Mytilus edulis: one gene and its partners. The protein of the gene in region 1 purifies or fractionates together with the protein of each later gene. This does not show direct contact. Links are inferred from orthologs where the notes say so. Each region holds a gene or a part of one and is shown on either strand. Other genes may lie near its edges. The genes, in order: neutral amino acid transporter 9-like, ragulator complex protein LAMTOR5 homolog and ragulator complex protein LAMTOR3-like.

What was found.
Region 2: the proteins of neutral amino acid transporter 9-like (region 1) and ragulator complex protein LAMTOR5 homolog purify together in Homo sapiens (co-immunoprecipitation; 5 studies listed by BioGRID and IntAct, with this or other methods). This does not show direct contact. The link is inferred for Mytilus edulis from reciprocal best matches to the Homo sapiens genes SLC38A9 and LAMTOR5.
Region 3: the proteins of neutral amino acid transporter 9-like (region 1) and ragulator complex protein LAMTOR3-like purify together in Homo sapiens (affinity purification with mass spectrometry; 3 studies listed by BioGRID and IntAct, with this or other methods). This does not show direct contact. The link is inferred for Mytilus edulis from reciprocal best matches to the Homo sapiens genes SLC38A9 and LAMTOR3.

What each region holds. Positions count from the first base shown.
Region 1 is NC_092344.1:81,385,504-81,393,051, reverse strand, and holds the start of neutral amino acid transporter 9-like, read right to left. Parts: upstream 3,050-7,548; 5' UTR 3,010-3,049; coding exon 2,885-3,009; intron 1-2,884.
Region 2 is NC_092344.1:37,230,398-37,237,979, forward strand, and holds the start of ragulator complex protein LAMTOR5 homolog, read right to left. Parts: upstream 3,107-7,582; 5' UTR 3,092-3,106; coding exon 2,982-3,091; intron 2,116-2,981; exon of another isoform or gene 2,101-2,115; coding exon of another isoform or gene 2,066-2,100; intron 1-2,065. UniProt on the Homo sapiens protein: As part of the Ragulator complex it is involved in amino acid sensing and activation of mTORC1, a signaling complex promoting cell growth in response to growth factors, energy levels, and amino acids.
Region 3 is NC_092352.1:54,988,900-54,995,864, reverse strand, and holds the start of ragulator complex protein LAMTOR3-like, read left to right. Parts: upstream 1-3,887; 5' UTR 3,888-3,944; coding exon 3,945-3,953; intron 3,954-6,965. UniProt on the Homo sapiens protein: As part of the Ragulator complex it is involved in amino acid sensing and activation of mTORC1, a signaling complex promoting cell growth in response to growth factors, energy levels, and amino acids.

The DNA of each region.
Region 1 (7,548 bases):
TAATTTTGAAAGTGTAAAAAAAAATTCGCAATAAAAACTGTAAATCTACCTGTCTTCATGTTTTTGACAAGTTTATGACCTCCAGGTAATTAACATTTTTAACAGGTGTTACAAGTTGTGATTACAACTAATCCGCTTATCGCCATCGGATGGGTCACTAATCCGTTAATTATTATTAAACCCCATAATTGAATGACCATCATAATTATTTCCCCAGGAAAATCAGCCAGTCGGCAAGTCATTTCAACAATCAGGAGTTTAGTTTCGTCAATTAATCAAAAATGTAACAACCCGGTCAGTTCGCATTTGAATTTCAATATTTTTCCAACGATCTGAAGTTCATTTGTCGTAGATTCGTCATTCGAAGGCATTTTCGTCATAATTGATTTAAATTTTCATCAAAAAACTTTCGACAATTTCCATTTAAAATACATGAAATAAAGAACTTTAATGTGTTTATTCAAAACTTTCACGAGTTAAACAGGTGCTTCCTGTATTGTATTCTTACGCATGCGTGAAAGTATTCTTTTGACTATTTATAGACTTTAAAAAAACGTAAAATACGAAATCATTTAATTTAGAATCAATTAAACGAGAGAGACAAATATCTCTTACTAAAGGAATTTAAATAAAAAAATGATAATTTCCTGATGAATCCGGACTCGTTTTGAATTTATTATCCACGTGTCACTTCCCGTTTTTGTTTCATTTTAAAACCGAAAGTGGTAAACGTGATCTATTGTTGATTTGTTTACAACCTACTTTCAGTCATTATTATAGTTCCAAAAAGGATTTTACACATTTCCAACTTGAAAGAAATGATTCCAAATATCGATTTAGACCTTTTATATGGATAATGATTATGCAGTGAAATAATCATTGCAAGTTAATTTCTGCTGTGATTCCTTGTTTAAAAAAAATAGAATCCAACTTTTGTTGATCAGGAATGACCCCTGGAACAAACTGAAGAGAAATTGTGAACTAAATTTCTGGATTCCATGTCAGAATCTTTCATAATAATGGCCAATACAGTCAAATCATACAATAACTGCCAATCATGCTGGTGCCTCAATCCCTTAAAATCTGACAAAGTCAAAAGATGAAGCTAGTAATATGCATCATTGGCCCCTTGCTTTTACACAAAATAAGGTTGATTTTAATAGCGCGCAAAAGTGACTAAAGCCCTCAAAATCCTAGCTTAAACCCTGAACATGTGTATAAGTCTAGTAACTTTGGTTTAGGATAATTTAAGTTAGAGAACTGAAATGCAAAATGCAGCAATTTCTATGTTTATAAAGGGTCTTAATTAAATAATTAATAAGTTATATAACCCTTTCAAGACTAACAATGCCTTGAGGCATCCCCATAGCCAGGCTGAACAATGCGTTGAGGCATCCCCATAGCCATGCCGAACAATGCTTTCAGGCATTGTCAATCACGTGATAAAAATAATTTTCATCTTTCAACTCATTTCCCCCTGTAAAGCTAAGAAAGGTAAAAGTGACGCTACCCAAATTCAAGTTTGATCTGTATGTTGTAAGCATTGTGTATAAGTTTCATAACATTTGGTTATGGCAAAATAAAGTTTGAAACAGAAATCTTTACCTTAAATCCATTGGATGACCGATGTTGGATGTGAACTCATTGATAATTTAGTCCTTGATAAACAATTTTTTATTAGTTGTTTTGGGCTTTGAACTAGCTGTCGGTAAAGTGCAAGTAATCTTATATCTGTTGTACTTAGTGTCTTTTTGTTGTTGGAATGTAAAAGTACCTGGCCACATCCACTCTGTGTTTTTGTTTGATGTAATTCTATTTGTATCCATCTGATGCATTAAGCCCTTTATCAATTAGGTTGTTAGTTTTCTCTTTTTAATTTGTAATTTATGGGTTTTGTTCATTGTTGAAGGCCTTGCGCTAACCTATAGCTGTTAATTTCTCAAATTCTGTTCCATTAGGTCTCTTGTGGAGAGTTGTCTCATTGACGACATTGGCAATCATACCACATCTTCTTTTTTATATATCCTCTTCTGGGTTTTAGTGCTTTTAGAACGCATTATGGCGTCACAATTTCCATTGAAAAAGCATGCATGATACAAATCTACATGTAGTCTTTGTTAGTTTTGTATTATTTTTAATTTTAGTTTCTTGTGTACAATTTGGAGTTAAGTATGGCGTTCATTATCACTGAACTAGTATATATATTTGTTTAGGGGCTCCGTGTGCGGGAATTTCTCGCTGCATTAAAGACCTGTTGGTGACCTTATGCTGTTGTCTGTTCTATGGTCGGGTTGTTGTCTCTTTGACACATTCCCCATTTCCACTCTCAATTTTATATGACTTAAAAAACATATGATCTGACCATAATATTGAATACACCTTATCGCTATTTGTCCGCCATTGCTGGAAATCACACAGGTTCCCGTAAAATTTTGACGTCATAAAACAAAATGTCTGACGCCACAATGGAAAAGTGATTGTTGTTGACGTCAAAAGTTCAAGCGGACGGGTCAGCCGGGAATAGCGATAAGGTGTATTAATCCTATTCAAAGTTATCATCTCCTGACTTTTTCAACTTTCAGTGGTGATCAAGAGGAGAGAGTTCCAAGGCTGGAACCCCCCTTTTTTTGAGGATCAATGCATTTGAAAGGGAACATGAAGTTGGAACCCCATTTATCCCTTTATCCTGGGTTGGAACCCCCTCCCCCCCCCCCCCCCCCCCCCCCCTTTAAATGGCTGGAACCGCCCCATGCTATGTTTATTGTTTACTATTTCCATCAATTTTCAAAATGGCTAATAAAAATCTTGTGTTCTTTGAAGAAAGCTGACAAAGGAAAATCTTGAGTAGGGGTGTAAACAAATAATTTTTGAGGAACATATTTGCCTTGTCTGACTTGAGGCAGAGGGTCCTTCTTCTTTGTTCTGCAAATTCTCAGAATTTGATGATGAAAGTAAAGTTCGTATTTCGTCGTCTGGGCTGTTTACGGACATGTGACGATTTCTATCCATTTTAAAACGAAGTAAAAGTCAGTTTGTGAACTTTGATAACCATATAAGGCACAAAATGTGCACCATAATTCAGTTACCTTGTTTTGTAACCCCCATTGACATAATGGTTACATTGGTTACATTGGTTACACTCATATAAACTATCATAAATCATGATATTCAGAAATTCTCAAATCCTGGTACATTTGTAACCTCCATTGACCTAATGGTTACATTGGTTACACTGGTTACAGACATGCAAGAATCCCTTTTAGCCATCTTGTTACCATGGCAACCCCATTATTCATGGCTGTGAGGTTACATAAGTTATTTAGGTTACAATGATTTAGAGTTACAATGGTTACATGCATGGAGAATCAGGTTACATGTATAGGGAATCAGGTTACAATGGTTACATGCATGGGGAAGTCGGGTTACAATGGTTACATACATGGGAAAGTCAGGTTACAATGGTTATATACATGGAGAATATTGTTACAATGGTTACATGCATGGAGAAATAGGTTACAATGGTTACATGTATGGGAAAATCAGGTTACAATGGTTACATGCATGGAGAATCAGGTTACAATGGTTACATACATGGGGAATCGGGTTACAATGGTTACATACATGGAGAATTTGGTTACAATGGTTACATGCATTGAGAAATAGGTTACAATGGTTACATGCATGGAGAAATAGGTTACAATGGTTACATGTATGGGAAAATCAGGTTACAATGGTTACATGCATGGAGAATCAGGTTACAATGGTTACATACATGACATACATGGGGAATCAGGTTACAATGGTTACATACATGGAGAATTTGGTTACAATGGTTACATGCATGGAGAATCAGGTTACAATGGTTACATACATGGGGAATCAGGTTACAATGGTTACATACATGGAGAATTTGGTTACAATGGTTACATGCATGGAGAATCAGGTTACAATGGTTACATACATGGGGAATCGGGTTACAATGGTTACATACATGGAGAATTTGGTTGCAATGGTTACATACATGGAGAAATAGGTTACAATGGTTACATGTATGGGAAAATCAGGTTGCAATGGTTACATGCATGGAGAATCAGGTTACAATGGTTACATACATGGGAAAGTCGGGTTACAATGGTTACATGCATGGAGAATCAGGTTACAATGGTTACATATATACATGCCTGGGGAATCAGGTTACAATGGTTACATTCATTGGGAAGTCAGGTTACAAAACTATGTCCACCATGATGGCCCTATGTGTCCATCATAATACTCCCTGTTGCTAATTAATACACAAGGTATTAATCAAAAACTAGTCAAGGATAAAGGGAAATCATGACTGCATTGAAGTGTTAAAATTACATAACCTACAGGTAAAGTGTCTCAGGTAAAATATGTGTTTGTCAAATTTAATTTCTGTGGTGATTATGACCAGAAAATTGAAAAAATAAAATGAAATAATACAACTAGTTGAACCAGAGACATATAAAACACATATAGCCTTATAACATTTTTTTTTAAATGTCTTGTGACTTTGTTTTGATGTTAAATTTTTTTTTTTAACTTCTATCAATTTATGTTATTTTTTACAAGTACTTTTTGACAACTGAAGATTAAATGAATGTCATCTTCATATATAATGCAAACTTTCACAATACCTGTCTTTTTCTATTGAAAGGTGTTTCAAAAATCAATTTTCTAAATTCAAAATTGTTTATACTAAGAGAGACGGATCTGCATTTAACATTGTTTAACAAATGTTTAAGATAATATCTTTAGGACTTATTTTAAATATAATTTAGGCAATTCATTATTTCTCTATTGAATAAATATATTCAACATATATTTATTACAGCAAAATTTCATAATATTTTGTATTGTCATATATCTGAGACTACTAGACAAGTATCTTTAAATAGTCTAATTCATTCAAGTCCCTGCAGTTATTACAATGTATTAACTTTATCTAAAAGGTCTGGTTTTAAGTGAAATATTCTTGGCAAATGTATACAAGATTATATGAATGTAGGACAGAGAGTCACAGCTCAAAATTTCACGGACAAAAAAATCACAGGACAAAAAGTCACAATTCAGTTTTGAGATTATTTTTCTTTGAATAAGAAAACACTTCAAAAAAAATTTTGTATTTGCCTTGAAGTTTAATATATGAAGCAACTTTGTAATTAAAATGTATTTAATAAATGTCATTAATAATTATCAAATAATTGTTTATGAAAAAAAAATGCCAAAGTGACTTGGTACTTTAAATTGGTTCATTTTGCCAATAAATATATCCTTTGCATGTTTAAAATTTAATACATTTTCATTATCAATGTGTATATATATGTATCATGCCAGTCCAGCAGTTTCGACAATATAATACACAAGAGAAAAAAAATATGATTTTATTAATAGACCATAAAAATGTCACAATCTATAGACATGGTAGAAGTGTATTTATTTTTTCTGAAGACAAATTTTGGTTATTAACTGACAGATATTAGCCAAACTGACGATAACATACTTGATTTTCAATTGTTTTAAAAAGCAAGAAAATTTTTCATTAACTAGTTTCTTTTCATAATGCAATTAAGATTCACTTTATTCTGAGAGCTAAGAAAAATATGATAAAAAAAAATAATGAGCGATAACAAAAATTAATGAGCATTTATACAAATTTGATATTCCACCGCAGTATCTACTGTACTGTTTAAACTGTTTATTCAAAATACACTCGGACGCAGATTTCCTGGCACCGATTTCCTGCATAACAGGAGCGACAAAGAATGTAGGACAGAAAGTCACAGGACAAAAAGTAATAGACAAAAAGTCACGGACAATAAGTGACAGGACAAAAAGTCACAATTATTTTTTTCTGGCTATTTTCTTTGAATAAAAAACGCTTATTTCTACAAAAATATTTTGGTATTTTTTTTTAACTATTGTATATATAAACCAACTTTGTAAACAAAATTTATCCAAAAAATATCAAAGATGATTAGATAATTGTTAAAAAAAAAAATGTGAAAGTGGCTTGACACTTTAATGGCTTCATTGTGCCAATAAATATATCCTTTGCATGATTTTTATTAAATAAATAATCATTTTTCAAGTATAATGACACATTTCCTTAACTTTAATATGAATATATGAATTAAACAGTGAATACATCACTTACATATTCAAACAATTGGCAACAAATTATTTGTGACCTTTTGTCATGTGACTTGTTGTCCTATCTTTGTGACTTTATGTCCTGTGACATTTTGTTCTGTGACTTTCTGTCCGTTTACTGAGACAAATACACATAAATTTACAAATAACATAGATAGCGAAATGAGTAGAATACATAAAATGAAACAGTAAAAATATTTTTTTAACAAAACAAAATATATACTAAATCTTTTGACCAGATCGCAAAAAGTCTGTGCAATCTGTAAAGTTTAAATAACCATGTGATCAATATATTAAGATATGTGCATTAGGTTGGTTCTAGAACACCCAGACAAAGTCCTAGTAATATTCCTTATTATTCCCAAAACTCAAACTAATTACTTATATACAATCTTTGTTGATAGCTAGAAATATCTTATTCATCAAATTTGTCTGAAATTTACTGAAATAATTTAACACAATTAAATCTTTATCAAAAATTGAGAAATACTTTGTTTATTGAATTCATTTGTTATAATAGTTTAATATTGTTTTAGTTTTTTTATTATTCAGTTTATGCCTCATTTGTTGTTTTTATTTTGACTTGGGACATCGTAACTGTTACAACTATCCTAAGACCCCAAAATTCAAACATATATCTTATCTTAGAAGACTTTTTTAAGACTAATTAAGATGTGTCCTAAGACCAATACATGTATACCATGTATACAGGTTGAAAACATACATATGAAACCACAGCACAGGGAATCTGATGTTTTTGCGCCAAAGAAGAAGCCTTTTAAGCACCAGATATTTAACCCATTTTAGTGAAATTTAAAAATGTCAATGACCATTTTAGAGAAATATTTTAACCCATTCTAATAAATAATGTATGATCAATAAAAAACTTGAATAGACTCAAGACAGCACTATAAAACATATCTTGTCCATTAAAATACAGCACTAAAAGTCTAAAAGGTTAAATCAAATGTTAAAAGTCTGTTCTACCCTGATATTTATATATCCTATGAGAAAGTACATATGGGCTCTGCATGAATATACTCCCTGTACAATACTATTCATAGAATTGCATACGGAACTGTTCTTTCTCTTTATCTTGTCTAGAATGTGGTGCACATTCCTGTATACTTTGTAATTTTAAATATGTTGTTGTTTGAAATTTAATAATAGTATCAAGGAAAATGTAAATAGCTGGGTGACAACTATAAAATTGCTCATTATAATGGGCATGGAAAGACTCTGGACCATTAATTGGTTGCTTTGAATTACACTCCCAAAGCTTAAGTGGGAATATAGAATCTTCAGTTCTTCCCAGTTTCTTCTAAGAGATAATCTGCGAATTCGATACATCTCTTATTGTATTTCCATGATGAA
Region 2 (7,582 bases), about 44 Mb from region 1:
ATTCATCAAAGCGTTTTCATGCTAATGACACAGTTTGACTGCTCAGTCATGTAGTTACTTATTCATGAATCATTTATTTTTTCAAAGGTTGAATTTTACGCTTAGTCTGATATCCTTGTAATATGGAGCAGGCATTACCTATGAAAGGGGACCAAGTCTGTATGAATTATTTTTTTTTAATTCAAACATATTTTAACTTCAAAATCTGTTAAAGGGGCAGTTAGCTATTAGATATATATATAAAAAAATCTAATATATTTTTTTTTTGCTAAATCATTAATGAAATGGAAATAGTGAAATAACAATCTGCTTTTAGCAGCCAGTATGGTTTAATTTTGTCATTATATGCTAAATATATTGATTTATATGAATTATTCACCTGCAAGTGAAAAATTTGACCTCATTGTCATTGAATCCGTATTCATGTGAACTTCGATTTAACCTCTTAGCTTGAGATTAATAACACATGAATTGTATGTGTAAAGTTATTTAAAGGAAAAAAATGTCAACATTAAAAGTTAAACAAAGGTAAATCATTTGATTGACTGATTCAATCCAAAAAAAATCTGTGTTATACAGGTAAAAACGATGATAAACATTTATTTTTCATCTTTAATATGAAATAAAGTAGACCTAGAAAAGTCCAACAGCACAAATTTGCTTAATCTATTTATATCTATATATATATGTTAACATCGATTATATGGTCATCAGATGACTTTTGAGGTCAACACAATAGTTAATGAGATGGCATCTAGACTAAAATACACATGAAACAAAGCTATGTATTTTCATGCCCATGCCCTGTTAATTGTTTATTTTACACATTTAATAGTGTAGATAAATGTTTAACATTGTTTTAAATCAAATATGAGAATTTGATTAAAATTGGTGAACATGAAATTGACAGCTAGTGCCCTTTTAAAAAAGAAACAAATATACATGTACAAATGTATCAAGTAACATTTCACAATTTCGTTCTGTTGTTAGAGATTTTAGCTGTGACATTATTTAAGTTATGACTTTATATTGATCAATGTACATAAACAAAGAAACACTATCATCAGGTAATGTGTTTTTTATATCAAAGAATTGTTAAAAATGAAATTGGTATTGTGTTTCTACAAATGTATATATATATTTTTCTGGACTGATAAATAAATATTTTACTCAAAGTCTCATGACAAACGAGACCTGAAGAAGGAAGTAGATTTATGTTCAAATAGGCCAGTTCTGGGATACGGTTTACAGACCAATCTGTCATGTGACTTCCATCACCAGGTGACAAAAATGTATGCATAGAAATTTCAAATACATGTTGAGCAAAAGGGTGAAAAAGTTTTATTCTAAACTGCACAAAATATTTTGGAAATTAAAATCTAAAAGGATGGTCACCTTCCCTCGGTCATATGGCAATCACGATTATGTACTTATGGAACATTAATTATTTCTATACTACCCTACAGAATGACGATTATGAAAGTGCTGGAATGACGTCATAAAGGCGTTCGAAATTGACGATCTTTTCCGGTGAAAGACATGATTCCAAAAATGACCTTTGCATGAAAATAAACAAGTCTAAAAAATAAAGATAATGATTTTGACTTCATAGGGGGTCTCATTGGGGGGTTTGGATCCCGGATCCCGCTTACAGTACTGTTTTATCAGATTCCCATATCACCGCTTACACTATGTACATGTATGTTAGCAATTCTCATATTTTTCTAATTTCCTGTGTCCCGCTAGCCTTCACTTCCCGTTTTCACGGCACAATAATTTGACTTTCAGGTGTCACGCTTACAAAAAATCAGCAATCCCGCGTAACACTTAGACCAGAATTTTTCATTGTACTAATGAAGTCAAAATCGTCCAATTTTTTTTTTGTCGCGTTTTTTAATTTCCGGATCTGCGCAGAACACATAACTCTACTTCCTTCTTCCAGTCTTGTTGTCGTGAGACTTTGATTAGTCTAGTAAAATATAGAAAGTCAAGGAACACAATACCAATATTTCATTTTTAATCATTCTTTGTCTTTGGTATGAATAAACGTTAGGCCTACATGTACCTGATACATTGCGTTTCTTTGTTTACATTGAACATGACGTCATAACTTAAATAACGTCACAAGTAAAATCCCTAACAACAGAACCAAAATCGGAAACGGTACGGTATTTCCGTATCTTTTTTTTAACAAATATTTAAATTACAAAAAAAATTAATTTAAACAAACTTCGTCCCCAAAAATTTCACAGGTACTGCCTGCCTCATATTATTAAGGTTCATCATAACCTTTTGGCTAAAATGGCCGTATTTACACCCCAAATTTTACTCTGAGTACAGACTAACCTATACACCTGCAACAGTTTTAAGGGATGGCAGGAACTAGATATATAAATTTTAAATGCATTTTATGTTTCAGAAAATTATAATCTTTTCTAGATTTTGCTATCCATTTTTTTTCGTTCCTGCAGAAGGTGCAAAAATTAACTAAGTAGTGAAAACGATTGAGAAGCTCCCCTCATATAATCAATGTTGTGAGTAGTATTGATTTAAATGGACAATAGATGGACAATAGACACCTGTAAACAATAGGTTATTTAACAGGTTTAAACTGTGTAACTGAGTGGACCGTATCAAATGAAACTCGGGTGTTTGTTTATTTTGCTATCTTCTGCAGACTGGAAAAAAATGAACATCAAAATCCAGGTAACTTTTTAATTTTCTGAAACGTAGACTTCATATAACTTTTATATATCTAGTTCCTGCCATGCCTTAAAACTTTCCTGGATGTACCAGTTTGTCTGTACTCATAGTAATTTTGGAGGTGAAAACACGGCCATATTTTTCAATTCCTTATGATGAACCTTAAGTAGAAAGGCTATATGTATATCGACCCCTGTGGCTGTGATATGACTGACTCTTATCTCTGTAATGATCAATGTATGAAATTTCACTGAGAAGCCTTTAACATGCTACCGTACGTTTCGTCTAAATGCTTTTCCAGGACTTTTTCCATGTTTCGTCTTTGGACTGCAACCGGAAGTAGAATTCTCCGCCGGATATAGTACACATTTTCTACCTCCCTTTCCATAATGACAGAAGAGTGGGATAGCCAAACGGAACAGGTTGTTTACAAACTCTTTTTCATTTCATGAGACCAACAGGTAACAAATAGCATTATATTTAAATATGAGAATAGTTATACCCGTGGATACTCAGTCACAGTGATATGTGTACAATTGTTCCCATGGGTTATGTAAATAACTTATTTTGATTTTGTTCAGTTGTTGACGTTGTCATGTTGTGAATAATTGTAATAACTTTATAAATTTTGCAAGATATAAGTTGAATACATGTAATGTATATCTTAATGTGTATACATTTAAACCTTCTCAGAAAGAGGATGTCACTTAACAATAACCTGTCGTATGTCAAATTATATCTTTGTCAGTTTATAGATGTGGTACATGTACATGTGTATAAGTGCCAATAAGACAACTCTCCATCCAAGTAGCAAGTAATAAAGGTAAACGAATAAAGAATAAGGTACGGCCTTCAACACAGAGCCTTGTCTTACACTGGAATGGTTTAAAGGGCCCTAAAAATTTCTAGTGGAAAACTGTACAAACATTGTTTTAAGATTTACATTTGGGACTTGGTGTGTATGTAAGCGATAAATTTGTCCTTGTAAAATATGTCCGGGCGGACCCAAATTCCTAGTATAAAATGTCCATGGTTACAAATTTTACTAGTAAATATAGTCTGATGTTAGTAAATTTTGTCCCCAGACTAATTTACCTAGGAATATAGGTCCATGTCATTAATAATCCTAGGTAAAAATGTCCATGTTGATAAAATGTAAGTAACCAGACTAACTTTCCTAGGAAATCATGTCCGTGTTATTAATATTAATAGGGCAAAATGTTCATGATTTTTATAATTTTAATTAAGGTTTAAAACTTAATTTTAACCAAACTAACTTTTTCCAGTACCTTTCATGTTTGATTTTGTTAAAGAGTTATGTAATAATATATGAAAAAAATACGTACCCAGACAAATTTTCCTAGGAAATCATGTCCATGATTTTTATAATTTTAATTAAGGTTTAAAACTTATTTTTAACCAAACTAACTTTTTCCAGTACCTTTCATGTTTGATTTTGTTAAAGAGTTATGTAATATTATATGAAAAAAATATGTACCCAGACAAATTTTCCTAGGAAATCATGTCCATGATTTTATAATTTTAATTAAGGTTTAAAACTTATTTTTAACCAAACTAACTTTTTCCAGTACCTTTCATGTTTGATTTTGTTAAAGAGTTATGTAATATTATATGAAAAAAATATGTACCCAGACAAATTTTCCTAGGAAATCATGTCCATGTTATAATTATTCCTAGATAAAAACATCCATATCATTTAATTTCAAAGGTTTATTTACATAAATGGTTTTAATATTGTTTTAGAGTTATGTATTAATATTTTTTAAAGTTATATCCCCAGACTAATTTTCCTAGGAAATCATGTTAATGTCATTATTATTCCTCGATAAAGACACCCATAATAATTATGTTTAAAGGTTAATTAACATGGCTTGTCTTGTTTTAATAATGTTTTAGAATTGTGTATTGATATTATGAAGAAAAAAATATTTCCCCAGACTAATATTTCTAGGAAATCATGTCCATGTTCTTATTATTCCTAGGTAGAAACGTCCATGTTTGTTATTTTTAAGTGTTGTTTTGATATTGTTAAAGAGTTATGTATTTAGATTTAAAATAAAATATTTCCTAAGACTAATTTTCCTAGGAAATTTGGTCCACTTTCTTTATGTTAATTGGAAATTATTATCAAAACTTTCAATTCTTAACTAAGATGGGGTTGTTTATTCAATAGTTTTCATCATAACATTGTTTCTAGTAGAGACAGAGTGCCAGTGGTACTCTGGACACATATTTACAACAGGGATCATATGAGCATCTTTGTACATTTTCACTTTGAGATGCATTTGATTTGACAGGAATGTCATACATTGTATGATAAAATCTTTACAGAACTGCATGTGATACATTTAGCCCCCTAGTCAAAATAATGATGATGTCTTGAAAGGCTATTATATTTTTTTTCTTTAACGCCTTATTTTGCTGGAAAGCGTCAAATCAAGAATTTAAATTAGCCTTCCAAGACACCATCAATATATATGGACTATTAAATCAGCCCCCTAAGCATCAATTTGTAAGATATGAAATTCACGTAATTTTAATGCTACATGTACATGTATTTTAGTATTATCACAGGGTTTTCGTTAAGGATTTTTGAAGGCGAGTCCAGGGACTCATCATTTTTAGCCATGATAATTCCAACAGCAAGAAGATAATATTTTATTGCAATATAATGTAATATTTTAGTCTCCATTTCCTAACAAAGCAATGCAATGACATTAAATTCAGATCACTTTTAAACTTTTGCTATAAAATGATATTTGTGTTTAACTGTGTTCAGTTTATACAAAATATTTCAATCATGATGCATCTGTGGACTCACCAGTTTTGAAAAAGGCGAGTCCAGACAGATTTTGATGAGTCCAGGACTCATTGACTCACCTTAATGAGAACCCTGTAATATCATACTGTAAAAATTAATATGAGGCAGGTATTACAATGTACCTGTAAATGGGGACAAAGTCTGTATTAATTCAAATATGTTAAAAAAAAGAAACGGAAATACTGTAAGGTTTCCGTTATATTGTTAGGGAATTTAGTTGTGACGTGATTCCGAATATCCTAGATAATTTGGTTGATTCTCTTTGGCATATTCAGCTGGTTCATTTTAACACAATTTTATTAATAATTTGATTTGGCCAAGAAGAAAAACAACTGTAACCTACATGTATTTGATGTACATGTAAGAACAAATCATGAACCTGCAAACAAGTCACTAATAAGATGAAAAAGGGATTGGTCAAATGTGTCAAATTTTTTATTATCTAATAATAATTGGTAAACATTAATGTTAACACCTTATTGATTTATTGAAATACCTACTTGTAGGATGAAATGTTCATTAAATTTTTATTATGATGCAGTCTCATTAGCTGCAAGAAACAACAGCGCAGGCAGCAATAAAATACAAATTAAAAGTGTCAAAAAGTTGTACATTTTCTTTTGCAGAGAAGTGTATGATTTAGGGACGACATCAAAAGATCGATGTAGGATAAAAAACTTAAATCGAATAGTTTGGGGGTGGGGGGTCAACATTGCTGCAAGTTTTGTTAATCTAAAATCGATTTTACATATATCCATATAGGTAAATCAATTTTTCCCAAATTAAGTTCAGAAGGGGGGTAGGGGGGGGTCAGCGAAAAAACTATGTGAATTAAGTTTTTTTATCCTACATTGAACTTTTGATGTCGTCCCTTACATCATGAACATATTTACTAAATAATTTTTTATTTTTACTTTCTTTATTTTATCACTATAAATAAACAAACCATGCCCTAAATAACATGTACAATTTTTTTTTTATGTATACATGGTATATGTTATATAATTTTTGAATGAAGTGTTTTATTATCTCCCTGACTTGTTGCCTTTGTTGTCTTTCGGTTTTTGCTATGGCATTTGTCAGTTTTTCTTCATTTAATGAAGATGATATTTTCTCCCTTTTTTTTAGAGAAAGAATAAGTAGGATATATATATATTTATTTCGCAAATCCTGGGCCAAATACAGTAAGCAAAACAACTCTTTCTTACTTTTCAGGGCTAAATTATAAAGAGCAAAACAACCCAGTGTGGATAGGAATACAGTCCAAACCACCCGTTTGCATTATTTATATAAGAAAATTCTAGTCCTTTCAACAAATCATGCAAATGACATACCGCTTTCCAGTACATTGTATTGTCATTCACTGGTAAAAGTTCATCCACTATGCAAGCCTTTATGACTTCATTTACAAGATTGAGGGTCTGTCTGTATCCCTGCACTTTTAAAGTTCATCAAGGGTCTATGTGATCTTTATTCAGGATAAACTAGAAATAATGTTTGTTCTGTATGTACTTACACTGTGTATGGTGTAATCATATTTTTTTAATCTTTTAGCCCGTTTTGAATTCACATTTCTTAATCAATGTGAGAAAATATTTTTCCTTATTGTGAAATATATTCTTGGCAAATGATTGGTCAAATATTCTTGTTTCTTTTGAATTTTCCTATCGTGACATCATGAAAAAAGGCTACCATGTCATATGACTTCACATATAAAGAACACAAATTTCTGCAAATTTTTGAAAAGGAGGGATAAAAACCATTAGAGAAAAGGATTCCAATACCATAAATACATTTTTTGTACTATCACTTGTGTATTTCCATATTTCTCCACTCCCAACAGAAAAAAAATAATTTCATATATTTAAAAAGCAGGGCAAGCTTTGAAATGAAAGGGGTTTAAATATTTGAACAGGTGCCAACCTACACCCTAACCTGAAATAATAGTGTAACATCTACATTGGACAGAAACAACACAACTTCACATAAGTAAAATATCAATTGAAATATGTCTTAACTCAATGATCAATCAAAAGA
Region 3 (6,965 bases), on another chromosome or scaffold:
TTTGCGTTTTTGATACAACATTGATAATATTTTATGGGCATTTTCGCTTCAATTTTATGGACGTTTACGCTCAATTAAGGGCATACGCTACAGTTTTGATCCCGTATTTAAGTTTGATGAAAATTTATATATAGGCTAATTTTTTTTGCCTGATTAAATCAAATATGTAATAAAAAATATACCTTTATATGCTACTTTTTGAGTTAAATGAGGTCGAAATTTTGTATATTTGCTCAAAATTCGGATTTGTGGCCGTATTTTCCCTTTCGAAAGAAAGCCATATTTTTTTTTTTTTAAAAGATAAACACAAATTGTTTTTTGTTAAATAATTTGTAATTTCTGTATTTTATAAATATCCTAAAAACTTATGAATTTTTTATTAAGAAATAACTCATATTTATCAAATGGTCATGAATTGAGAAAAAAAAACGTATTTTTTTGCTGTATATTTATCAACATTAAAAAAAATGCACTATTTACAGTTTTATAAAATTTGGTTCACATAATCTCCCTGCAAAATGAAACAATATGTCGTTTTAAAAAATAGGAGTCCATGCACTCGTTTTCAAATTAAATCAGTTTGAATGATAAAAATCAGTCGAAAAATGCATCTTTTCCCGGTATGTCACAGTTTGACGTCGCGAAAATAACAGTTTACGTTAGCAACGTCATGATCTCCACTGTAACTGTATCGTATGCCCTTAAAAAATAAAATTCACTTAAACAAAAGAATATTTGCGGTTTATAAACATAAGATTTGATATCACTTATACTGAGTTAATGTAGTTGGCGGATGCTGTTCAAAAGTAAAATCACAAAAATACTGAACTCAGAGGAAAATCAATTCGGAAAGTCCATAATCACATGGCAAAATCAAAAACCAAAACGCATCAAAAACGAATGGACAAGAACTGTCATATTCCTGACTTGGTACATGCATTTTCAAATGTAGAAAATGGTGGATTGAACCTGGTTTTATAGCTAGCTAAACCTCTCACTTGTATGACAGTCGCATCAAATTCCATTACATCATCGTCACCGATGCGTGAAAAATACTCTTCAAAGACACAAAAACATAAAAGATACATTAACGGGGTGATAAAATAAAATATAATATTACATATTACCAAGTAACTACCAATGATGACCGATTTATATTAAAGAAATACCACAGTATGCAGAAATGTTTAAAGTTTTTATTGTTAATTTCGCAATGATATTTTTCAGGCTCATCTTAATTTTCTGACAAGGTGAACAAAAAAGAAAAAAATATTTCTGGAAAGGTTTGTTTTGCTTCGGTTTCTAACCAAACTGAAATCGTAAAAATTTGTTATTCAACCAATAGAAAATGAAAACTAACCTCACGAAAATCATGGCCAAATATACAATAAAAAAATCACACATTTCTACATCTTACGGTATTCATTTTATAAAGAAATGCTCATAAAAAGTACTTGGTAATACATTTTTTGAAAAATATCGATTTAAGTTGAAATATTTTTGATTGGAAACTCACTTTTGTCCACCATCTGTACTAGGTTACAGAAATCTAACATAAATACCTGTGCACTAATGGCCGAGCTTTTCATGAATTGAATTGGGATATTGTTTGCTACATTCGAATGATGCATTCGTTAAATTCTGAAACCTAGGTATGCCTCGAACCTTATTGTTCCCATCTCAAACACGCCTAAATTTGTCGTGAATGAAAAATGATAATTCTGTTTTCATATATTTTTTTTATAAATAAAAAGCGCAAACGCACCGTCGGTTTATCAAACTGTTTAAAAGATCACCTAGAGGGACGATAGATACCAGAGGGACAGACAAACTCATAAATCTAAAATAAACTGACAACGCCATGGCTAAAAAGGAAAAGGACAAACAGACAAACAATAGTAGACATGACACAATATAGAAAACTAAAGAATAAACATCACGAACTCCACCAAAAACTAAGGGTGATCTCAGGTGCCCCGGAAGAGTAAGAAGATTCTGCTCCACATGTGGCACCCGTCGTGTTACTTATGAGATAACAAATCCGGTAAATAGTCTAATTCGGTAGGTCACAATCATGAAAGGGGAGGGGATTGTAGTTATGACGTAATGAACATATCCGATATCATTTGTGAAACGGTTATTCCATAACGGACAACCAACTCGTGATGGCGTCCGTAAAATTTACGAAGTGATGATTTCAACTTCACCATTTGAAACTCTTGATTTAATAGCTTCCTTGTGAGCAACAACCCTCTATCAAGAAAATCATGATAGGAAATGCAAGCACGGGAATATCGTATCAATTGGGAGATATATAAACCGTATGCAGGCGCTTCTGGAATGTTGCTACATAGAAATGGAAAGTTCACAATTGGAAAGCTGAAATCATCTCTTTTTTCGTAAAGTTTTGTTTTCAATTGACCCTCATTGTCAATTTCTAGATGTAAGTCAAGATATGAGGCCGACTTAACTGTATCTGTTGTATCCTTTATCTCTAGTAGAATTGATAGATGCGTTCAACATAGTCACAAAATTTTGCTTTGAGTGAAAGAACATCATCTTTATAGCGGAAAGTAGAGTTAAAGTCTTTCTTCCTAAGAAGTTCCTGTATGAATTCAGCCACATAATAATAAAGAAAAAAGTCGACAAGAAGAGGGGCACAATTCGTTCCCATTGGAATGCCGATAGTTTGTTGGAAATCACATCCTACGAACGTAACAAATATATTGTCAATCAAGAAATCAAGCATCTTGATAATGTCAGTTTCAGATTTTTTTTGTTTGAATCAGAGTGATCCTTTACAAAGTAGGATTTATCCCTTCCTAAGACAAGGTACTTGTATCTTCGTTGCTTGGCCATTCTTTTTTATGAAACAAAGCAATATCAACTCTTTCAATTTGTCTTTTAGTTTGGAATGAGGAATACTTGTATAAAGTGTATAAAAATATAATGTTTTAATACTATTACAAAATGAAAGAGAGTTAGATTGTGTGTACTCCAAAAGATCTTTGAAATTTTTAAGTATCCACATCTGATTCACGCCACCTCTAGAATAGGCAGTTTCACAACTTAGTAAAGTGGACAAGTAAAAAAATATATGAAAAATAACTGCTAAAAGTAAAAATAATAATTTTCCTTTAATTGTATGTTAAAAGTCTTAAACTGTAAACTTCCCATGTAAAAGTCAACATAAAACCTGTAAACCTCCTTTATAAAAACACATGAAGACTTAAAAAATGTATATAGTGTATCTAATGTTGTTGTGTTACGATTGTTAATTTATTCTTCAATTATTTTTTTGGTGGTGGAACTGTTCGACATACAAAGTATGGTTACCCTATAAAGGGTGTAAAGATCCAGAGAAGAAGAAGGACATGTCCATAGTTTTGGGGCGCAAAACACGCAAAAGTCCTGAGATAAAATTTCCTCGATTATTGTTTTAAAGTCCAACACTTGAATTTTTCACTTTGTCATTGGTTAGAACAGGCGAATATATAAAACAATTAATGCATAGCCCACTTTTGCAATCCAGTATTTTTCATTTTAAAAAAAATGCAGATTCAGGCGGCTATGCCCTCCCCTCCCCCTTGCATGGTAAAAATGTGGTTGGTTATACAGTGAATCACTGAAGCATTAGTGTAGTGGGTCCCCTCTTATGGCAGTTATTGGCACTGTGCCTCCTAACAAAATGTCGGTATGGATCCGCCATTGTTAGATTTTGCTTTTCTTATCTTTTGGCTAAATTTCATCATGGAAAATTCACAAATGCTTATAATCAAAATAAGTTATAATAAAATGGAAACAAAATAACAAAAGAAAGCTGCACGACAACATTTTGGAAAATATATTTGTCCGTTGCTGTGCTATACTTTTTAAAGTGATTTTGAAGTTTTAAGATTTACCATTAAAAGCTCTTCACTGTGAAAACAGAAACAGTGTACATCATGACAGACGTAAGATTTTATTTTATTTTTTAGTTTATTCTCTACTATCAGACACATTGTTTATTGAATTTTAAAAGAAATCAGGATCGTGAGTTCAACTGTGAAAAAGATTTCATACCCAAATGCCAGGCCTAACTGTCGTTTTGCCGCATAGCGAAAACTTCAACTTGAAAATTATGGGAGGGTCTTTTCAGATGAAGTTCCTTTATCTTCCAAATTATACTGGAACTACTCTACTTAGATAGGTACTACATGATGAGCTCCCGAAGTTTAATAGTGTATGTTGTTTTTTTAATCTATAATCTGGTGTTTTTTATCCAATTATGAATACAACCTGTTACCTGTTACCTAATCTTTATCTTCCTCCTCTAGCAGGAGCTTCGCTTTTATAGCGTAATTCTTATTTGCAGCCTTATTTGCACCCTATCCCTTACACACTGGGCACTCATAAAATCAGTATACGTAGTTATTATAATGTATAACAGTAACATATATACAGCATGCGAACTAATCCGTCACCATGTAAACAAGGTTAACTATATATATATTACACAGTCCAATCGTTCATAGCTGGTTCACTATTTATATCTCCATATCACATAGGCTTAACAATTCTACATATATAGCACTCCTGCCCTCACATTAGCATTTACTGTTCAAACACTATCCTCATTATCTTTAAATCTAAAAACTAGTTCAAGTGTCAAGGAATTCCCAAATAAAGATTATTTTTTTCTGTCCTTATCCATGTTATCATGGTTGATAAAGTTGTTAAAAGAATCAGAAAATGTGCTTCCTGATAAGTATATTATTATTGAATCCTGTTTTCATGCATTGCCAGGGGTCTACGACCTTCCACTGTTGCAATTGGACTATTGTTTCAGTTACTAGCTATGCCAGACGGACCTTCGATTAAAATAAAATAAAAACTAAACTTTGCTGTCCTTTTTAACCATCAGTATCTTAATTTCAAAACCATATTATGATTGAAATTGAGATAATTAAATGTTTCAAGCAAAAGCCTTGAAGATGATGAACGTCATCATGGTCATTTACGTGAACAAAACAAAAGAAATAGAAATGAAGATCTCACTATGCATGTTATAGACTAAAAGAAGATTTTGAAAATTAGGGAGTGATATAATAATTTAAGCCCTGTTAGATCAACTATATTTTGATGAATTGACTGGTCTAATGTCGTGTACATACTGCCTACAGTTTTCATTCGTTAAGATAAAGAAAGTGCACTTGAACAGTCTTCACGATGAACTGTTAAATCTACAGGCCAGGAGCTCAATTTTTGAAATTTTTTAGTGAGATTTTGTTGGCCTGCAGATATGATTTTTACAGGCCCAAGAGCAATTTTACAAGCCTGGGCTGCCAGGGCTGCCCCTCAGCGAGAAGACTGCTTGAAGGGTTACAAAAAATCATAAAATAGACCCAATAATAATACAAAAATTGACAACCCAGCATTTATCTGGTTTAAAGCAGTGGATCCATGAGAGTGACCCAAATTTTAAGTCTTAAGCCTTACCATGCTTAATTGTTATCAGCAATTGTCTAAATTTCGAGTATTTGCAAAAATATGCAAATGATATGCAAATGAGCTGTACCCTGATGCTGATACATACTTATAACAATAAATCTAAGATAGGGGATCGCAGGGTGGGGTAGGGGGGAATTTGCCCCAAAGTTGGTCCTCAGGTGCAAAAAGCGTCTATTTTGACGTTTTTTTTTTCTTTTTCTCGACCTGTAAGTCCAAGGGATGCTAATACATGTAATAGATGCATCCATCTGTAGTTTTTATGTAGAGTGGACCCCAGTGAACACTTTTATCACAACAGTTGTTAGGTCGGAGTGAAACTGATCTGGGTTCATCAGTGTATAGAAGGTCATTTGCACCAAAATTCACAAAATTTCTGATTTTTTTCAATTTTGAACTTTAACTGGATTTGCAACCTGAAGTAGTCGTTTCCTAGGCGTATTTTGATAATAAACACAATCAGTCGTCTGGGCCTTTAGGTAAACAGTATTTGTCAAGGTTTCAGTCCTCTTAACTCCATGTTTCAGACCTCGAAGGTAAGCCCATCCCTCCAAAAAACCCAATTTTGTCCGATATCTAATTTTGAAGTTCGTATTTGAGCTCAAAATGAATATTAAAAGTGACAAACATGACAATCAGTAGTGTCAGATTGAGGAAACTTGCATACACTACGAATTAAATGGCATTATGATGACCTTCAAATGTATGGAGCGCCATTAATGCCTAAATAACGGTGGTCTGGATACGGCCGTAACATTACAGCCCCCGCACGACAAGGGTTAAGATTTATTGTCAAGCATGAAACATGGACAATTTATTCTCAAACAGCAATGTAAGCCTGATCAGTTAAATAGATGTAAGGTTCTTGCAAAAAAGGGAATCCCCTCAGTGACTATGAATTTATTCTTGAAATCCATAGCAAAAATGATGTTGATATTGGTTAGCACTACTTCAATATTTGAGGTTGAAAACTGTTTATAAGCTGGAAAGTTCATTTTATGAGAAACAAAATGAGTTTATGAGTTATGTAATATTTCTTATAAAAGTAGGACCTGGGATTTTGGTTGTGGACCTTTCACTTTTTTCACATTCAACCAAATGTTGATTTGAACCCCTGATGGGGTACATTGGCTTTCATCTGTCCCTCTATTACACATGTATGACACATTTTTCCAAGAAACTAAAATTCTGTTAGTATATATATAACACCTTGGTTCTTCTGGTTTTGAAATAAACATAGTGTGAAGTGTCAATTCCTTAGTCTTTAGAAGAGGGTCAAAAGATGCCAGAGGGACAGTCAAGCTAATAGATCAAAAATAAGCTGACACCGCTGTTACTAAAAAACAAAAAGACAAAGAGACAAATGATAGTTCAAAGACACAACATAGAAAACTAAAGACTAAGCAACACGAACCCCAGCAAAAGGGATGTGGGTGGAGGTTGATCTCAGATGCTCCAGAAGGGTAAGCAGATCAACC